Macaca mulatta: one gene and its partners. The protein of the gene in region 1 interacts with the protein of each later gene in a pairwise test. Links are inferred from orthologs where the notes say so. Each region holds a gene or a part of one and is shown on either strand. Other genes may lie near its edges.

Evidence for each region.
Region 2: the proteins of TMEM218 (region 1) and PCNA interact in binary tests that used the Homo sapiens proteins (3 or more experiments, as listed by UniProt). The link is inferred for Macaca mulatta from reciprocal best matches to the Homo sapiens genes TMEM218 and PCNA.
Region 3: the proteins of TMEM218 (region 1) and CREB3L1 interact in binary tests that used the Homo sapiens proteins (3 or more experiments, as listed by UniProt). The link is inferred for Macaca mulatta from reciprocal best matches to the Homo sapiens genes TMEM218 and CREB3L1.

Annotation. Positions count from the first base shown.
Region 1 is NC_133419.1:125,513,744-125,517,492, reverse strand, and holds the start of TMEM218 (transmembrane protein 218), read left to right. Parts: upstream 1-1,367; 5' UTR 1,368-1,413; exon of another isoform or gene 1,414-1,461; intron 1,462-2,433; exon of another isoform or gene 2,434-2,492; intron 2,493-3,749. UniProt on the Homo sapiens protein: May be involved in ciliary biogenesis or function.
Region 2 is NC_133415.1:78,833,806-78,837,554, forward strand, and holds the start of PCNA (proliferating cell nuclear antigen), read left to right. Parts: upstream 1-1,021; 5' UTR 1,022-1,213; coding exon 1,214-1,434; intron 1,435-2,146; coding exon 2,147-2,244; intron 2,245-2,335; coding exon 2,336-2,403; intron 2,404-3,677; coding exon 3,678-3,749. UniProt on the Homo sapiens protein: Auxiliary protein of DNA polymerase delta and epsilon, is involved in the control of eukaryotic DNA replication by increasing the polymerase's processibility during elongation of the leading strand.
Region 3 is NC_133419.1:19,302,897-19,306,545, forward strand, and holds part of CREB3L1 (cyclic AMP-responsive element-binding protein 3-like protein 1), read right to left. Parts: intron 2,266-3,649; coding exon 2,081-2,265; intron 106-2,080; coding exon 27-105; intron 1-26.

The DNA of each region.
Region 1 (3,749 bases):
CTAACATTACAAAACCACAGGCTATTAAGACAGGAGTCACATCTCATTTCCGGTATATCTTCACAGTTCCTGACAGAACATAGCTGCAGTCAACACTCAATTCCAGTGAAATGAATTCATCAAAATAATGGATTTCTTAGCCACAGAGCTTCTCACTGGGCCAAGTAATGTTAAGTTGCTAAACACACAACAAATCATTGGTTATGTTATATGACTGCAAATGAAGCCTTGAAAGTAGAATAAATTTGAGAGGTGCAGTTGATGAAATTCAAGCATCTTCTTCTTTTTGGTTCATAAAGCTGTGATTCAGGAGAATTCCTTCAATCAGAGATGCAGTGCTCTAAGATTGAATAGTTTGCTTCATGGTATTTCTGAATTTTGTTTAGGGTCAAAGGTTCAAACGGTGCAACTCTCCAATTTGGTATTGATTTTTGTTTTCCCTTCTTGATTCAGTGGTGGAGCACGTAGCCTGTCTGTCCTACTTCCTTTGGTTGTCCTGATTGATGCATCTTTTGGTCTAACAGGCCATAGCCTCAAAGCAAAGTCATGGCAAGCTTTAGTTGGCAGTAAGGTAACAGCAGTCTGCCAATAGCGTGGGCCAACTCCAGTTCCAGCAGCCTGGCGGCAGAGGGTTTACTTGATGGACCCAGGGCCGCTTCCCCAGTCTGTCCCGTGGGTAGAATGATCCTTGCCTTAGTCTGCTTCGCAAGGCTAATGGAAGAATTAAATGCCAAATAAAATAAGGCGAGATAAAGATAAATGAAGCGTGCTGTTATTATAACTGGTACTTCGTCCTCAGTTCCCTCCAGGAGGGTTGTTGGAGCACCTAATGACCGGGCCTAAGCTGACTTGTCCCCCACATCTTGCGCCCCACTCGAGCCAGTGGGTTGGGGAGTGAGATGTTCATCAGACCCCAGAAAACGCACTTACGTCTAGACAACTGTGCAGCTCTCCGGAGTTTGAGATCTGAGCTTCCCAGCCCCGCCGCTTCGCAGCCTGGATGCGCAATCTCTATGGTGACAGCGAGTGGGCCGGAAGAAGCCTCTCTCTTCCGCCCAACAACCCGCCCTCGGGCTAGACTGACCAATGGCCCAACGAGTTACGGAGAGATTATGTGATTGACATGGGGGGGTGTGGCGTGCAGCTCGGACCGCTGCTACCCAACCGAACTGAGGTCGGGCCAAGGGCCGACAGGCACCGACCAATCGGAGGGCGTAACAAAGGGTGACGAGCCAACCCACCGCGCTCGGCGTTGCCGGGAGCCGCGCTAGGCGTAAGCTAATAAGGAAGAAGTTGGGCGTTGAGAGAGCGACGCTGATTAGTGAATGTTAAATCACCTGAATGAAAGCCCACTTGTGATTCGCCCTAAGTAAACTGGAGCCCGGTGGGCTGGAACCGGCCGGAATCTGAGGTGTGAGTACTGCCTGGGTGGACAGTGGGATCCAGGTGAGGCGGGCAGAGGTGAGGAAAGCAGGGCGGCTGCGGAGAAGGGAGAAAAGTGGCGGGTCGGGCTGAGGTGGTTGGAAGAAGGCGTGGGCGGACGGCGGTGCACGGACCTCGCAGACCGCCCTTACCGCTGATCTGGCCCCAAGGCCCGGCTAATAAATACTTAATGTGAGGCAGAGAAGGAAGGGCTGTTCTGTGTTTCATACTCTTAAGAAAAGGAAGTGTCAGTGCCTGATTCAGATCTCTTATGATCAAGACCTTAATCCCTCTCCAGCTACTGGGAGGTGGCCAGGTGAACATTCTGAAGACGAGACATAGGGGGTATCGTTTTCCTGTCGCCAGTTTGAATCTGCAACAGAGTTGGGGAGAAGCTTAGAGTTCCAGTAGAGTGTTCCCAGGCTGCAGTGCTGTGAGATGCAGAGAGCGGAGAGACCGAGGCTCTGCAGCCGTTCCAACCCACAACACCGTCCAGGAGAGAGATGCAAGGACGAGACCTAGGTTTACTGATCCTCCTTTTCTATCAACGTGTTAAGAGCAGATGCTACATCGGTGGCATTTTGGGAGCTTGGCAACTGATTTTTTTCCCAGGCTTGCATTTTATCTCATTACAAAGGTAGAGGCGTTATTCTAATATTTTAAAATTCAAAAGATAGTGAAGTATTTAAAGTAGATACATAAAAGTGTGAAAGTAACCGCCCAGTTATTTTTGAAGGGTTGGAAAACAGCTATAAAGCAAAGTGGAAAGAACTGTTCCAGAAGAGCACTTCACTCCTGTAACCCACTGTTTTCTGTTGCTTTCAAGGGCTTGAGTCAGTGTGAAAATCGGGGGATGGGTGAGATATCTCCCACCAGCAGCAGCACTTAGGCCACATTACCCTCTGAGGAATCCACATTTGTCTTAGGTAGTAAGTCATCTTATAGTGGCCGTTAGTATTCTCACTCATGATGATCAGCCTGGTGATGAGTACTGTGTTTTTAATCCATTAGGTTACCTGTGCAGGGATCAGTCAATTTATTCCTATTTTCTCTGACAGCTGGATGAAAGGGTATGTAGAAACAATCGTTAAATGAACACACACATCTAAAAGGTTTTGAACAAACTCTTTCCAGAGAAAAACCTCACAGCATTGAGCACAGAAGGAAAACATTGGCCTTGTAGTTGCTCTTGTCAGCTGCTGAACGGTTCAAATTTAAATTATTTTTTTCCACTCCAATCTACCTGCTTTAAATGCCACAGATATTAAGTAAATGGACTTACCCTTGAAATCAGGTTGGCCAAGCCATCACTTCTCAAAGAAGGTTTACTGATGGCGTGAACAGTAAATAAAAACACTTCCGTTTTAATATTTTATTGTATTGTACTCAATAACAATAATTTAGCCATTCTAATATGGGAAATTATCACAGATATTATCACATTGAAATAAGATGAAAATGACTAGATGTTCTCTCTTCCCCTATAGCAGCACTCTATACTATACCCAGCTCTTCTTTCTATGCTTTGTAAGAAAATGTATAGTTTGCTTATAAAATTGTGAGCTCCATTCTTAAAAGAGCTTGGGAATATTTATCTTATTTACTTTAAAGCCATACCATATGTAAACCAATGTCTCATGAACTCTTAAGCTACTAAGGGGGATTGAAGGGCAACATTTCTAATGGTGCCAGCCAGCTTCAACTACCATTTGCCCTCTATTCTAACTGTTAGAGTTGATCCAAGTCTTCTAGGTTATTTGTGTAATATCCAGAATAGCACAAATTAAATTTAAATAGTTGTTTTCTTAAGGGCAGTACCATCAGGTCAGACAACTAAGCTAGAAACTTGTGTCATTTCTAACACCTTCTCCCTTGACACAGCTAAGACTGGAGTTCAGACCCTCATCTCTTATCTGGAGAATTGCGTTTCTTAACTGATCACCCAATTCATATGCATTCTGCTGCCCATTACCTTTTTAAAAATTAAAAATTATCACAAAAAATTTAAAAACAGAAAATAGTACATTGGGTAGTATAATATCTATGTTTCACCAGATTAATAAATATTAACATTTTGGCACACCCGTTCAAGTTTTTTATTTTAAAGAAATAAAACATCACAGATTTAGTTCAGATCTCTTTTATTTCCACTCCCAACACCATTCCCTTTCCTTCCTCCCTCTCCAGAGGCAAACAGTCTTTTGAAATTGTCATACATCATTTATGCCCATGTTTTTATACTTTTGCCGTATATATGTATGTCAGAAACGATACATATTACTGCTTAAATTGTATTTAATTTAAAAAATACAAGTAGTATCATACTG
Region 2 (3,749 bases), on another chromosome or scaffold:
GCCTGGCCAACATGGTGAAACCCCGTCTCTACTAAAAAAAAAAAAAAAAAAAATTAGTCGGGCGCGGTGGTAGGCGCCTGTAATCCCAGCTACTCGGGAGGCTGAGGCAGGAGAATCATTTGAACCTGGGAGGCGGAGGTTGCAGTGAGCCGAGATCGCGCCACTGCACTCCAGCCTGAATGACAGAGCAGGACTCCATCTCAAAAAAAAAGAAAGAAAGAAAAGAAAAAAAATTAAATGTGTACGCTCTTTGACTCAGCTGTATTACTTCAAGGAGTTGATAGCACCAAAATTGCCTAAGTGCTCAAAGGTGTTTGTAATTAACAGGAGATTGATAAGTTACATACATGTGATGCTATCTTTTAAAGAGGTACTGATATAAAAAAGATGTACGTGGCATAAAATTAAATGTACTTTATTAAGTACTTTTTCGAAGTGTTTACGGAATGAGTGCATTTTGAAAAAAAAAAGTGTATTCGAACTTTCAAAAAAGCTTTAAAAGCTTTATACAAGGAACGATTGAGTGATTATAAGAGCTGGCAGTGGAATGTTAAGAGGTGAGAGGGAGCTAAGTTTAACATAACTCTTTATGGTGTGACACTTAGGAGCGCATCACTTTTGTAATTGAAAAATAAAGTGCATATTTGCAGCAGCTGTACTCTTCAGGCTACAAGGAGGCTTTTCCTCCCGGTAGGCTGGATTTGCTTTTCACTTTCACTTTCGTGGCTGGAAACTTTCTACCCACGGAGCTGGAGGCTGAGGAGGCACCATAAAGCTGGGGCTTGACGAACCGGGGCCTGGGCCGGATCCCCACATATGCCCGGACTTGTTCAGTGGTCAGGTTCAGGAGTCAGGCGAAGAGGCGGGGAGACCTGCGGGACGCTGCCCCGCCCTGCACCCGCTTCCTCCAATGTATGTCCTAGGGGGCGGGCCTCGCGGGGAGCATCGGCACGATTGGCCCTAAATTCTAACCCGCCCAGGCCGTGGGCCGGGCAGCGTGGTGACGTCGCAACGCGGCGCAGGGTAAGAGCGCGCGCTGGCGGACGCGGCGGCATTAAACGGTTGCAGGCGTAGCAGACTGGTAGTTCTGTTTCTAGGTCTCAGCTTCTCGTCACGACGTTCGCCCGCTCGCTCTGAGGCTCCTGAAGCGGAAACCGGCTAGACTTTCCTCCTTCCCGCCTGCCTGTAGCCGCGTTGCTGCCACTCCGCCACCATGTTCGAGGCGCGCCTGGTCCAGGGCTCCATCCTGAAGAAGGTGTTGGAGGCCCTCAAGGACCTCATCAACGAGGCCTGCTGGGATATTAGCTCCAGCGGCGTAAATCTGCAGAGCATGGACTCGTCCCACGTCTCCTTGGTGCAGCTCACCCTGCGGTCTGAGGGCTTCGACACCTACCGCTGCGACCGCAACCTGGCTATGGGCGTGAACCTCACCAGGTGAGCCTCGCGGCGTCGAGAAGCCGGCCCCGGCCCACCCCCACCTCCGGGGTTTGGCGGGATCGCTTCCGAGCCGAGCCCTCATTGGCTGGCGTGGACCATCCGCACCTTCTCATTGGCCTGCCATGCAGGGGGGTGGGGCCCAGCTGAGCGCGCGGTTCGGAAAAGCCCGCGCTGGCTGCTGCGCGAACCTGCTTTTTCGCGCCAAAGTCACAAAGCGGGTGGTGGCGGGAAAATGACTGGTTTTTCTGCAGTGCCAGGAACACTGCTCCAGAGCTTTTGCTCACTAAATCCTGTTGGCCTTGAATGGACGCTTTAGTTGTGGCTTTTTTGTTTCCGAGACGGTCTCGATGTGTTGGCCCGGGCTGGTCTCCAACTTCTGGGCTCAGGCGATCCTCCCGGCTCAGTCGCGATTGACTTTAAATGCTTTATAATGTGCCCTTGCGAGAAAAGTGTCAGCCTGTCATCCTACTTAGTGGCAGGAGATTGTTTCTATCCAGAAGGGAAACTGCTGGTGGTATTTTAGTATAAATACTGCCAGATGCATCCCAAAATGTCTGCATTAATATTCGCATCCTCCAGCAGTGCAATTACCCTCCACCAGTTCTGAGACGGCCTATGGGTGAGAGTGGTAACCCCTTCTAACTGCATTAGAAATACAGACCTTCAGTAGATGGTGTTGATTTTAAACCATGTGTCTCCTGTCTTCTAGTATGTCCAAAATACTAAAATGCGCCGGCAATGAAGATATCATTACACTAAGGGCTGAAGATAATGCGGATACCTTGGCGCTAGTATTTGAAGCACCCAGTAAGTCGTACCTTTTTACTGAGTTATGAAGCTACAGAAGATCAAAACTCTGTGCCAGTGTTTCTCAACAGCATTTGCTTTTTTTTGGTAGACCAGGAGAAAGTTTCAGACTATGAAATGAAGTTGATGGATTTGGATGTTGAACAACTTGGAATTCCAGTGAGTATCAGTTTCTGATTGTAGCGACTGCTGTACACAGGCATGATAGTTATATCATAGAATGTTGTTTATTTTTACAGACAGGGTCTTCCTCTTTTCCCCAGGCTGGAGTGCAGTGGTGCCATATAGCTCACTGTAACCTGGGACTCCTGGGCTCAAGCAATCCACTTAGTCTCCTAAGTGGCTAGGAAGGACTACAGATCTGTCCCACCACGCCTGGCTAATTTTTTTATTTTTGTGTGTGGGTGTGGGGGCAGTCTTGCCCAGGCTGGTCTGGAACTCCTGGCCTCAATGATCCTCCTCCGTCAAGATAAGTTAATATAATTTAAGCCTACTTCATAACAGAACTTTTTCTAGAAACATATCTACTGGTGCATGTTTTAAAGAGATTTTAGTATTTGGATAGTTGTTTACCACAAGTCTAAAACTCACTGGTTAAATTTATTGTTTACTGCCAGTTGTCTATTTGCATTAATTTCCATGAACCTCTTTTAAAATTTGCTTCCTTCTAGGATGGTTGGTTTTGTTTTGTTTTGTTTTGTTTTTGAGGCGGAGTCTCGCTCTGTCGCCCAGGCTGGAGTGCTGTGGCCGGATCTCAGCTCACTGCAAGCTCTGCCACCCAGATTTACGCCATTCTCCTGCCTCAGCTTCCCGAGTAGCTGGGACTACAGGCGCCCACCACCTCGCCCGGCTAGTTTTTTTTTTTTTTTTTTTTTTTTTTTTTTTGTATTTTTTAGTAGAGACGGGGTTTCACCAGGTTAGCCAGGATGGTCTCGATCTCCTGACCTTGTGATCCGCCTGTCTCGGCCTTCCAAAGTGCTGGGATTACAGGCTTGAGCCACCGCGCCCGGCCCGATGCTTGATTTTTGTTAAGTGGGTTTGAAAGCTATCTTAGAAGAAATGTATCCAGGTTAGGTTTATAAACACCAAAGGAGAGAAGAAATGTTGGAATGTTGAAAATGCCTAATATCATATTCTCTCGTTTTCTTTTAGAAAATAGTTAGACCTGCTTGCGCCGTCATCATTTCTGTGGCATACTCTAATGTTCTCTTACTTTATCCCTGGAGGATGAGGAGGAGGAGGCGCTTGTTCCCTGGGCAGTGCATTTAATAGCCATTTATTTTTTTTGAGTGGAGTTTGTTAAGAAATTACACGAGTCAGTAATCAGAAAATCTTGATTCTGAGTTGTTTAGATGTTGCCTTTTAAGAAAGTGAGGGTGCCAAATCATTAAATTTCTAACAAGTAACTTTTGGAAAATTTTTGTTCTTAATAGGAACAAGAGTACAGCTGTGTAGTAAAGATGCCTTCTGGTGAATTTGCACGTATATGCCGAGATCTCAGCCAT
Region 3 (3,649 bases), about 110 Mb from region 1:
GAAGAGCCCTTCCCCTGGACACCTACCCGGTGTCACTTTGAGGAACTGGTTCACCTCCGGAGGCTCTGCTTTGATCACTGGCAGCTGAGTCATCTCTCCTGGGGCCTGAGGAACAGACAAGCCCAGCTCCATTAGCTGCCCCTGGGTCTGTCCCCAGCATGCCATCTACCCACCTCCTCCTTAAGTCTGGTGGCCTGCCCTGCACAGTTGGGGAAGTGGCTGGGCTTGGAGTTCTGGGCACAGTTGCAAGGGAACAGAGGCAAGTTCTTGAGCCTAGGAAAGCCAAGTTACACCTAAGAGAAAGGACTGGTGGCCAAGTAATGTAGCTCAGACCTTAAGCTCAGAGAAGGTGAGCCTCTGAGGGTGGGGCCACCTTCCACACCAACTGTGAAGGCCACACAGGCTTTGGTATGTGGGTTGCCATGAGGACAAGAACAAGAGGTAATGTCTGGAATAGTGTAGCTGTTCAATGGCTGGTAGCAATAGTACAGAAGAAGGAGGCATTAATTGGCTGGGGGCTCCGAGGACGCTCCCTGAGAAGTCAAAGTCTGAAATGAGTCCCGGGGTATAAATAGAAGTAGAATCCAGACAAAGAAGTTGGAGGCAATGAGAGCTCCTAATGGATTTGAAGCAAGGGCCTGATAGAATCAGATGGACATTTTTAACAAACATGCATTTCTCTTTATTTCTATTCTGACTTGTGGTTCCAGAAAGGACTTCAAGAACATGCATGGCTTTGTACACATGACTACCGACATGCATGTAAGTGGTGCTCTCTCTGAGGAAGGCATGGTGTTGGGGGCTGGATTTCAGGCCCTGGGCTGCAGCCCCAGAGAGAAGATCGTGATATTGTGGGTGGGACGCAGAATCCAGAATGTAGGCTGATGAGTAAGAATCCCAGAAAGTTCAAGTTGGCAGGGACCTTGGAGACTCCTTGGTCCACATCCCAGCTGATCCCTCGAGTGAGAGGGGACTGTGGTGCAGAGAACTCACTGTTGACAATGCCAGCTCCTGTGCCTTCTACTAGGGGTTATGACCTCCCCTGTGTGGGCTTCAGGGTCTGGCAGGCCGAATTTGGAAGGCAGGTCAGTTGCTTCTAACTGCATGATTTTGGGCAAATTGCTTAACCCCTTGAGCCTCGGTTTCCCTGTCTGAAGCCTCCTCGCCTCTGGCTGCTGCTGCTGTCACTCCTTTGGCAAAGCCTGAGGAGTCTCAGAACCAGTCTTGGAGACGGTTTCAAAAGATCCTGCATATTTGCCACCAACCCTTGATCCCATGGGTCTGTGGTGGGGCAGACAGGGGCTGACCTTTCTTGCTTCGGCCACCTACAGTTTGAGCAAGTGAGCCGTGTGGCCAGCAGGGGGCAGGGCCAGCCACGTTCCCATCTAGGGATTTTAAGATGCTGCTCATCCTGTGGAATCCTAGGGCTAGAGGCACCTTAGGGGGTTCATGAGCCCATTTTACAGAGAAGGAGGACACGGAACGTGCCCAGAACACAGAGGAGGCTCCGAGTTGGGACTCAGGCAGGGCCTTGGCTAGGAGCCAGGGGTCTGGGGTTCACATTCCCAGAGGGGTCTTGGGTTTATAGCTGAATGCTGTCATCTACACATTTGTGGAGGTGGGAGCTCAGCCTGAGAGTGTGGGTTAAAAATATTAATCTCATAAATGTAAACAATTGGAATATAGCACACTTTTTTTTTTTTTTTTTGTAATTTCCATTTTGGTCTTTCTTTTTTAAAAATCCGGAAGCTTTGAGAAAAGTCATCTGCCTGGACTGTCTCTACCTCTGAGACCCTGGACTGGGCTCCTGATGCCAGCCCTGCAAGTTGTCTTTTTCTGCACAGGCGAGAGCCTTTGTTACTCCAAGGGGGCTGTGGCTTGTGCCCGTTGCAGGATGGTGAAGGGGCAGCCAGTGGAGCAGGCGGAGGCCTGGGCTGGGCTGAGGCTTCCCACCCTCAGCCCTGAGGCTCCTGTCTTCCTGTTCACAGAGCCCTGGGGCACAGGGCTTTGGGCAACTCTTCCCGCAGACCCACCAGCCCTCCTCCCTCCCTCAGCCCTTACAAACCATCCCCAGGCTCACCTGGTGGGGGATGGGCAGCCTGGACAACGGGCTGAGGCCCAGCAGCGGGGTGGTGGCCATGGCGGCCGCGGCAGACATGGCCGAGGGGGCAGCCAGGGGGTCCACAGGCAGCTCCGGGCTCTGCTCCTGCTTCACCATGATGGAGCACAGTTTGTGTCCCAGCGCCCACGCTCCATGCTCCACGTCTAGGGGAAGGGGAAAGGCTCAGGGGACTCCAGGGCAGAGGTCTCAGTCCCCTGCCTGCCCTCTGGGAGCTGCTCTAGGCTGAACTGAAGAGAGCTGTTGGGATATACCAGGGGCAGGCGGGAAAGAGGGTGGTTGTGAGGTGAGGGGGAATTGTCTTGGGCCAGAAGAGGGGAGGACATCCTCTTCATTCAGCAGCTTACAGAATGAGCTTGGGCACCAGATTCACACTCCTCTTGATTGGCTGTGTGACCTTAGGCTAGTTGCTTAACCTCTCTGAGCCTGAGCTTCTTCATCTGTAAAATGGGGAAAGAACCTAATAGAGAATTCTGAGGCTTAAGTAGTATAATGTACATAAGACACTTAACACTGTGAGTGTTAATACTTAACACTGGTGAGAAGCAAATGTTCAGGCTGGGTGCCGTGGCTCACTCCTGTAATCCCAGCACTTTGGAAAGTCAAGACAGGCAGAACGCTTGAGCCCAGGAATTCGTAACCAGCCTGGGAACCATGGCGAAATCCCATCTCTACCAAAAATAAACACACACAAAATTAGCTGGGTGTGGTGGTGTGTGCCTATAATCCCAGCTACTCAGGAGGCTGAGGTGGGAGAATCACTTGAGTGGCCAGGTGCAGTGGCCCACACCTGTACTCCAGTTCTTTGAGAGGCCAAGGCAGGCGGATCGCTTGAGTCCAGGAGATCGAGACTAGCCCGGACAACATGGTGAAAGCCCGTCTCTACTAAAAATACAAACATTAGCCAGTTGTGGCGGCACATGCCTGTAGTCCCAGCTACTGGGGAGGCTGAGGCAGGAGAATCGCTTGAACCCGGGAGGCAGAGGTTGCAGTGAGCTGAGATCGTGCAACTGTACTCCAGCCTGGGCACAGAGTGAGACTCTGTCTCAAAAAAAAAAAAAAAAAAAAAAAGAGAGAGAGAATTGCTTGGGAGGCGGAGGTTGCAGTGAGCCAAGATTGCGCTACTGCACTCCAGCCTAGACAGAGTGAGACTCTGTCTCGGAAAAAAAAAAGAAAAAAAAGGAATAAGTGTTCAATAAACACAAGCCAGTGTTAAAATACAGCTATTGTTATTTAGTAAACATTTGCTGAGAACTGTGCTAGGTGCTGGGGATATAGGAAGAGTCACAAGCAGTTTAGCAAAGTTGGAATGCAAAGGGGAGTGGAAGATGGAGTCAGAGAGGCTACTGGGGGTGACTTGGCCTTGGAGGCTGGGTTAGTTCAGATATGTGACTTTATCCTAAAGCAAATGGGGAGCCACTGAAGAGTTTTGCATGTGCTCAAATTTATAATTTTTTTTTAGGTGTTTTTTTTGTTTGTTTGTTTTTGTTTTTGTTTTTTTTTTTTACTGAGACAGGATCTCACTCATTC